2 linked regions of the Bombyx mori genome follow. The protein of the gene in region 2 interacts with the protein of the main gene of each other region in a biochemical or structural test. Links are inferred from orthologs where the notes say so. Each region holds a gene or a part of one and is shown on either strand. Other genes may lie near its edges.

Region 1 (3,950 bases), on a different chromosome or scaffold from region 2:
ATTATCAAAATTATTATTTTATCAAATGTAAGATACTACAATACTGTAATTACTGAACATCAAGTAAATGATAAGACTATAAACACACAATTACTTTATGCTTTTCCTGAATTCACAAATAGGAATTGTACATACTTAAATATTTTGATCTATATTGTTGTGTGAATCTTATGTCTTAAACATTAAAAAAGTATCTATTGCTTTTATTTCCATAAATAAATATTCTTTCCAACTGTATATAATAGTAGTTCACATAAAATCTATGTACTCTATGTACCTAGTAATGGATTATCCATAACGGAAAAACACTTTCATTGATTAAAAACAAGAGTTTATCAGTTGTAATCTTCATCTTCATCCATGGCAAAATCAACACCAGAGTCGGCTGCACAAACAGGGCTGCAAATAATAAGATTATTATAGTAATTTATGATAGTAAAACGTAAGTAGTGTATATTCAGATTTGTTGGCAGACATAAGATACTAGAAAGTTTTTTAGTAGTAAAAAAAATATTTATTTATTTTGTTGTAAAACATTATCATTTTATACATTAATATGTATTTAGGTTCAGTGTACTTAAACTCAAAAATGGTTGGACTGATTTTACTAAAATTAGTAGTACACATAATTATATTGGTTGTTTCGAAATTTTACATTACAAGAATGTACATAATTTCCAATAGGAGTTGTGAAAGGTATGAAACAGTAAATTTTATTGAGAAATGACAGTCACATCCAATCAAAAGTCTGGTTTTACTAGTAATGTATAAAATCTTCTTAGAAATGATGACTAATTGTAACACAAATCAGGATGTAATGTATTAAACACACCTTATAGCTCTGAAAGTGAGAAAAACAATCCTTTTCAACTTCTTATTGTAGAAAAAGAAGTTGTAAGCCCAAAGACATCCAGGTTCACCAAATGGATCAGTAGCTAGGTCTGGATTATAGCTGTAGATACGACATTCTGGTAGGAGCACTTCTTCATCAACAGCAGCCCACAAGACTGGACGCAGTTGGCGCCAACGCACACCACCTACTGCAGATAAGGCAGCATCAACTGCACTTTGCACCCAATTCAATGACGGTTCAGCACTGAACTCACTGCTCTGTAAAAGGTAATAAAAATGTTAATGACATACGAACATCATCATTACTAAATTCAATTGCTACATATTAATAATACTGTACCTTTGCCATGGAGAAATCATAGTCTGGAAAAGCAGCATTCAATGTAGCAATGAGATAAAACAATGTTTTCCTTGAAATGGTGTCGCATAACACACCGTCTTCGTCACCAGACAAGCTCCGGCTAAAATAATATTTCAATATGAGTATTAATGATCAATGTTCTTTTCAGTTTTTGCAATTCATACACAATCAAAACTAGTTTTAGGGTTTAATCTCAGGATTTTTATTGTCCTTACATTATTTCCAATATTTTGAATGTTTTTCATAATCACAGAAAACTGTATGTCATTATCAATTAAACCAATAACATTATTAATAATAATATTTATAGTTAGAATATTGTCATCAAATCGGGTGGACTTTTGAAAATATATATCTTATACGTAGATTATTATATAGGCCTAGTTATATGTCACAGGAGAACACTGTCCAGGCTCTCTCTGTTTCTAAGTATAAAGTAAGGTTGTCTAATGCAATTGAGGCTTCATCTTAATGTTTTAAGATTTTTATTAACTACTTTACATTAAATGCCAGAACCATTTGGTGTAAAGTAGTTAATAAATCCCACTGCTATTATCTAAGGTAAGAAAGTAATTTAGGACAGTGTTAAAAGTAAATAATATAGCTATATGTTCCTACGTTAACAATTTACAGTATGTGCAGTACATAAATACTGTGTTGTCTTGCATTTTTTTAAGTAACTTCAGGGTAATCATGTGATTACCTATAAGTAACACTCTCAGGGGGAGACAATGCTTGAAGACTATGAGTAGTTTCTCCATCAGCAGTAAACTTCTTATAGAAAGCTTTCTCACTGCCAGCCATTTTGCAGCTGTAGCTTTCAACGCGGCCTTGTACAGCACTGTCGCCATTCAGAATAGACAGAGCTCTGCTTAATGCTTCCAAACGACCACTTTCCAATAGTTTCATTTTCTCTGATTTTATTCTGTTCAAATTATCCGATCAACAGGCTCGTTATTATCGGTGCATTTATATTTATACTACACCATAAATTATTTCTGTACATAGCCGTGGGGTGTATGAATATTCCTTTTCTCTTTGAGTGTAAAAGGTTCACACTCGGTATCAAATTCGACTTCTGTTCTTCTTCCGCGCGGATGAAATGCGGGAACATCACAAAAAAGGAGAAAAGGATGGTTTTAGAAGTTGCAGTACTAGTATTAATTATCCACAAACTTGTTGATGGGTTTACACAATGGCTCGCGTCACTTCACTTTTTAGAATGCAGAAACACAACGGTTATTTTCAAAAACCAAAATCCATAGAAGACATCGTCGCTAAATATAATCACTATTGGAAAACAAATTATTTGATTAGCTAAACTATCTTTAGTTTTTCAAAACAAAATAATCTTCAATCGAATCACAAGTAGGTACAACAATCACGAACAATATAGAGAATATAGACTACCTACTTAGTTTTTAAGGGATTTTATGACTTGGTAACTAAGACCTTTAGGTCAATTTTAATTTTAATGAAAACTCTTTTATATGAAATAGGATATTATGAAAGGAAATGAAATGAGATGAGATGAGATGATATGGGATGAAATGTAATAGACCACTTACTAATTACCTACCTAACTTATGACTGATAGTTTCAAGTAAGAAGTTTACATCATTACATTTACTTAATAGTTCCTAATATTATTTCATATCATTAGTCTGGACTTTAAAAAACAGTGATGGAGGCTCAAATTTGAAAAAATCAGGGTGCTGCACAAACACAGTCGAAGCAGACATCAACGAAGGTGGCTATTAAGCTTTCTTCGTCTCAGGAAAAATCCTTTTCTCATTCTTTAGTGCGATTATAATATTGATAGTTAAGTAATCATTATTTACTTATTGTAATCAGTGGCTAGAAGCTAGAATAGTATTTAGAATTGCCTACATCATATAAGCTTTTTTTTTTTGGTCTGGAGGAAATCGCCGGACTTCCGCCCTCCCCTGGGGATGGAAGGCGGGGCATGTCGGAGTCGAACTGACTAAAACCTCCTGTCGCTCAACAACCCGCGTCCGAACCTCGCATGTAACAGAACCCATGAAAAGGCAAAGGAGGGAAAGTGAAGCGTTTAGTGCGGAGCACATCTCTCCCATCACCCTCCCCCTCGGGACGCCGGACCAGCGGTCGTCGGCACCACGACCACCAGCCCTCTCGGTCGGCAGGCTATCCGGAGCCCGCCTAGATGGCGCCGGTTAGAATGGGTTATACTACGGAATACCCCGCTGGGTCAGAACCAGCGTGGGTCGAGGATAGCCGGCCTTCCATCACCCGGATGCTCTTGCGTAAAACGCGTGCAGAGCAGCTTGCACGTCGTCTACTTAGGCCCCCTTCGCCGGTCCACAGACCGACATATGAAGGGGACGCGAAACACTTAGAGGGCCAGGGCTTGGGCGAGATCCGCCTCCCTGGCCCCCGCTCGACGGCGGCGGGCTTGCGCGTCTCTCACGCGCCCCGCCGCCTCCTTCTGCGAGATGGTGCACTCGCAGAAGTCGAGCATCGCCTTCCATGACTCGTCGTCGCCGAGCATCGATGCCACAACACTCGGCAACGACAAGTCGTTTCCTATTTTTGCGACGAGGACACGGCGCCACCCCTCCCATGCGGGGCAGACGACGAGCGTGTGTTCCGCCGTGTCCAAGTCGCAACCACAATGGTGGCACTCTGCCGTCGGCTCGGCTCCGATCCGGTGCAGGAACTCACCGAAGCAACCATGCCCAGTGAGCACCTGCGTGAG
Region 2 (3,962 bases):
AAATCAATTCTGTTAACCATTTATTTAAAGCATGTCCACCACCATTAACCTCTGCCAAATCTCCGATGGCCTTTAGTACTGTAGATATCATAGTGGAATTACTGTCCTTTTCTTTCAGTTTCGGTATAAGCACATTTAGAATTGTATCAACAAATTGACGTGTAATTGTGGGAGCATGAGATATAATATTATTTATCATTCGTAAAGCTTTTTCTTTATTCCGCGGAGATTCTGAATGTTGCAAATCTATTAGAATTTGTACATACAGTTGACGCAATGTTGGTGTGGTATAGCTTGGGTTGAGATTGCTCAATCTTGCAAAAATGCACAGTGCTAGTTCTCCAACTTCAGAATTCGAGTCATTAATAGAAACAAAAAGACAATTTAGATGTTCTTCTACAGCAAGATATCTGTCAAATACTGGATTCATAAACACCTCAAGTACTCTGTAGCGTATTTCATGATCAAAATCTGATCGTCCAACAGACAAAATTTTACCTATGGATTCATCAATCATTAAATTTAAAGTTCGTGAATTTATCTGGGCGCATCTCTCCACAGCTTTCGTTAATAATCTTGCAGCTGTCTTTACTGCTTCTAGCCGAATGTCGTGATGATCACACAGCAGATAATGATCTGTACACCTTCTGATGAAGGACATCAAAGTGTTATTCCATTCAAAATCAAAAGAACCTAGAGTCCTCAAAGCCAATACTAATTTATTGGCATCATGAGGTTCTGCTAGCAAAGCAGTTGTGAAGACACCTTTGTGATTTTCGTTGGTAGAAACATAAGGTTTCTTTCTCAATATTAAAGATAGCATGTTCAATAATTTATCAGTTATATCTTTTTTTAAAGAAGGTAAATTATTGCTTAGTTCTTTAAAGCAAGTTGTTAATTGTGGACTTAAGCCTGTCAAACACATAGAATCTAGCAGCTCTCTAACTTCATTTGCTACATTCTCTTTCATGGCAAATCCTAGTAATGTAACACAATGAAATAATGGTGTTTCAGATCCGTTACGTTTTTTCTGTGTTTCTTTGATTGGCAGGGTTAATTTGATAATATCAATAATTCTTGAGAGATACTGTTGTACATCTGATTCCATAGCTACACAAACCAAGCCAAGTGTGGTGAAAGCCATGGCCTTTTCTTTTTCTCTACCACGTAAGAATGTTATCAAATGATTTATCGTTGACTTCAGATGTCTTTTAGCAAAAGTTTCTTTGTTGAAGGCAGCTAATCGAGGTATTAACAGAAGGAGCATCTGATGCACATTATGAGCTCTTGATATTTGCTGAGCCATTACATCTGTAAAAAATAATTGTTTAGTCTCAATAGATACAATGACACTATAATTTATTTTTCTAAATACAAATTAATTTTTTTTTGCCAGTTCATACCAGCTGAGATTTTTTCACAATTATCTTCAATTAATTTCTTGCAAATACTGGATTCAAATATTAGAGGTTGATTTTTTTCATCTGAATAATGTGACAATGACCATGAACCCTGAATTTTAGGACTGAGAGAAGACATTTCATCATGAGAATCTAAATCAGGGTCTAGCTTTTGCATTAGAGAAGTGTATTTTTTCTCCCATGCTGCATTTGAGCACCTGAGTAATTCATTTAGAATTAATAAAGCTCCATGCACATGGTCATCCCTGTTCAATCCCCTTTCTCTAATAGCATGATCACCAAATGATGTCTCTGCTTCTTCATAACATTGAATATACCAATGAGCTTTGTTACTTTGCTCTGGCTGCTCTCTCTGAGAGGTTACTGCAAAAGCAGCCCTCAAAACTTTTGCTGCAGCTTCTCGTATTTGATCTTTAGGATCTCTAAGTGCTCTCATGATATGATTGAAGAATCCATTTATTTGCTGAAAAAAATATGATGGCATAGATATAGCCAGTTCTCTCAAAATTAAAACAGCCGATAATCGTTTGCCTTCATTTCTTTCTTCAGCTAGCCATTCGAAACATCTTTTTATTTCAGTCTCCACATATTCTCCTCTTTTAATTCCTAATGAGGAAGCTAATCGTCCCATAGTTTTAGCACCCAATTCTAAGAGATTTATGTCTGTAGATGGAAACACATTTCGTAGATAATTTGCATAACGTATTGTCCTTGTTTTGGTGGTCTCTGTATCACCTCCAATAAGACAAACTGAAAAGATATTTTATAACATTTTATTTATTTAAATTAGCACCACCTACTCCAAAATTTCTGTATTTGTTAATAGATTAATTATTTGGAACCATTAAAGACATGTGAATCATGGCCAATAGAAAAATATAACCTCTATCATGTACCTATAGTAAGAATTCCAGCTTTTTTTTCGTTGTTATCGTAACTAGTGGTCATATCGTGTATCTGTTGGTTGAAATCATCTAAAATTTGGGTCAAACTATCCTGAGACATTTCCCGCAGTTCTGTTTTGGCAAAATGTAGCAACTCTCGCACAGCTCGGTGTCTTGTTTCTGAATGTCGAGATTTTAGACCTGATATCAGCTCTAATACTTGATGATTCGTCATATTGTCGCCTTTGTCAGAAATTTTCATTTCAAGGAAAGCCAGATTTGTTTTTTAAAAGACTCAGAACAAACTATTACACTCGCAGTTCATCACCATCACTGCTATAAATTATTATGAATTCAAACCTCTATCAATGTTTCACTCAAATTACTATTAGTCATGATTTCGTTTGTATATTTGTCGACTTAATTGATAGTCAACGATTTTTAAACAAATTATTAAAAGATAAATGTAAACAAATGAAGTTAATAACATTCGGCCATTGACACAGGATTGATAGATTATCTATGGTTCACAAATGTAGGTATTTAAAAAAATCTTCTTGGTAGTTTTCCAATTACAGCACATTATGCGGCATAATGCTCAACGTTGAATGGTCCAACTACAGCAACGCTTCGCACAATCGAGCACTCTCAAAAGTACTGCCTGTCATCAGATATTTTATTAATGGCTCAAATAACTCATCTGTTTCATTATCATATATATTTTCAATAAGTATATCACTTGTTAATGAAATAATTGATTTAAACTCGAAGCACTCGATAAATCATCGTCAACACTATCATCTGGATAAGATGATTCAATTAAAAAGTATATAATTTTCTTATAACTCGTTTATAAAAATTACTCAAAACTTAAAAAAGTGTTAATGAAATAATCAAAATCTAAATTACTTAAAATAACCGTAAATAGTTTTCAACCAATTATTATTGTTTACCACTACATTATTTATACATTAATGAGGTTTGAATATATTTTTTTCAATACTGAACTTAGCGCACTCTGCTGATGCATTTGAAAACTAATTCACGTTCCAATTATGCTTCAGCATAATTCGGCATTGTGTCCCACTGAGTCGCATTATGCTCTGTAATTGGAAAACTACCCTTGCTTCCCTACTTTGAACTATACATAGTTATTATAATTAGATACATTGAAGAATCCGTGTGATATAATTTTTTTTGTGTACTTTTATCTTTTTCTTTTTCGTGTACGACAAAGTTAAATTGATCATCAGCTTCAACTCGGGTCATAGACATTTCATCAAAGCCATTTATGGTTCTTTTATGGCTTTCGAAAATAATAGGGAAAGCAAACAACATAGTATGTGTTTGCTTAAAACACATTAAACATCAAAGCTTAGATGGGTGGACGAGCTCATAGCCCACCTTGTGTTAAGTGGTTACCGGAGCCCATAGACATCTACAACGTAAATGCGCCACCCACCTTGAGATATAAGTTCTAAGGTCTCAAGTATAGTTACAACGGCTGCCCCACCCTTCAAACCGAAACGCATCACTGCTTCATGGCCAAAATAGGCAGGGTGGTGGTTCACGCTGACTCACAAGTGGTCCTACCACCAGTATTCACATGAGGTCCTACCACCAGTAGATGTTAGGGCCAGTGTTAGCAACACTTGCG

Evidence for each region. The genes of interacting proteins can lie anywhere in the genome.
Region 1: of the proteins of TOR1 (region 2) and repressor of RNA polymerase III transcription MAF1 homolog, one has a biochemical effect on the other in vitro, tested with the Homo sapiens proteins (2 studies listed by BioGRID and IntAct). The link is inferred for Bombyx mori from reciprocal best matches to the Homo sapiens genes MTOR and MAF1.

The regions. Positions count from the first base shown.
Region 1 is NC_085110.1:12,881,044-12,884,993, reverse strand, and holds the start of repressor of RNA polymerase III transcription MAF1 homolog, read right to left. Parts: upstream 2,801-3,950; 5' UTR 2,123-2,800; coding exon 1,917-2,122; intron 1,314-1,916; coding exon 1,193-1,313; intron 1,111-1,192; coding exon 833-1,110; intron 400-832; coding exon 336-399; 3' UTR 1-335. UniProt on the Homo sapiens protein: Plays a role in the repression of RNA polymerase III-mediated transcription in response to changing nutritional, environmental and cellular stress conditions to balance the production of highly abundant tRNAs, 5S rRNA, and other small non-coding RNAs with cell growth and maintenance.
Region 2 is NC_085109.1:10,806,750-10,810,711, forward strand, and holds the start of TOR1 (target of rapamycin), read right to left. Parts: upstream 2,801-3,962; 5' UTR 2,666-2,800; exon of another isoform or gene 2,568-2,665; coding exon of another isoform or gene 2,318-2,567; intron 2,172-2,317; coding exon of another isoform or gene 2,053-2,171; coding exon 1,404-2,052; intron 1,312-1,403; coding exon 1-1,311. UniProt on the Homo sapiens protein: Serine/threonine protein kinase which is a central regulator of cellular metabolism, growth and survival in response to hormones, growth factors, nutrients, energy and stress signals.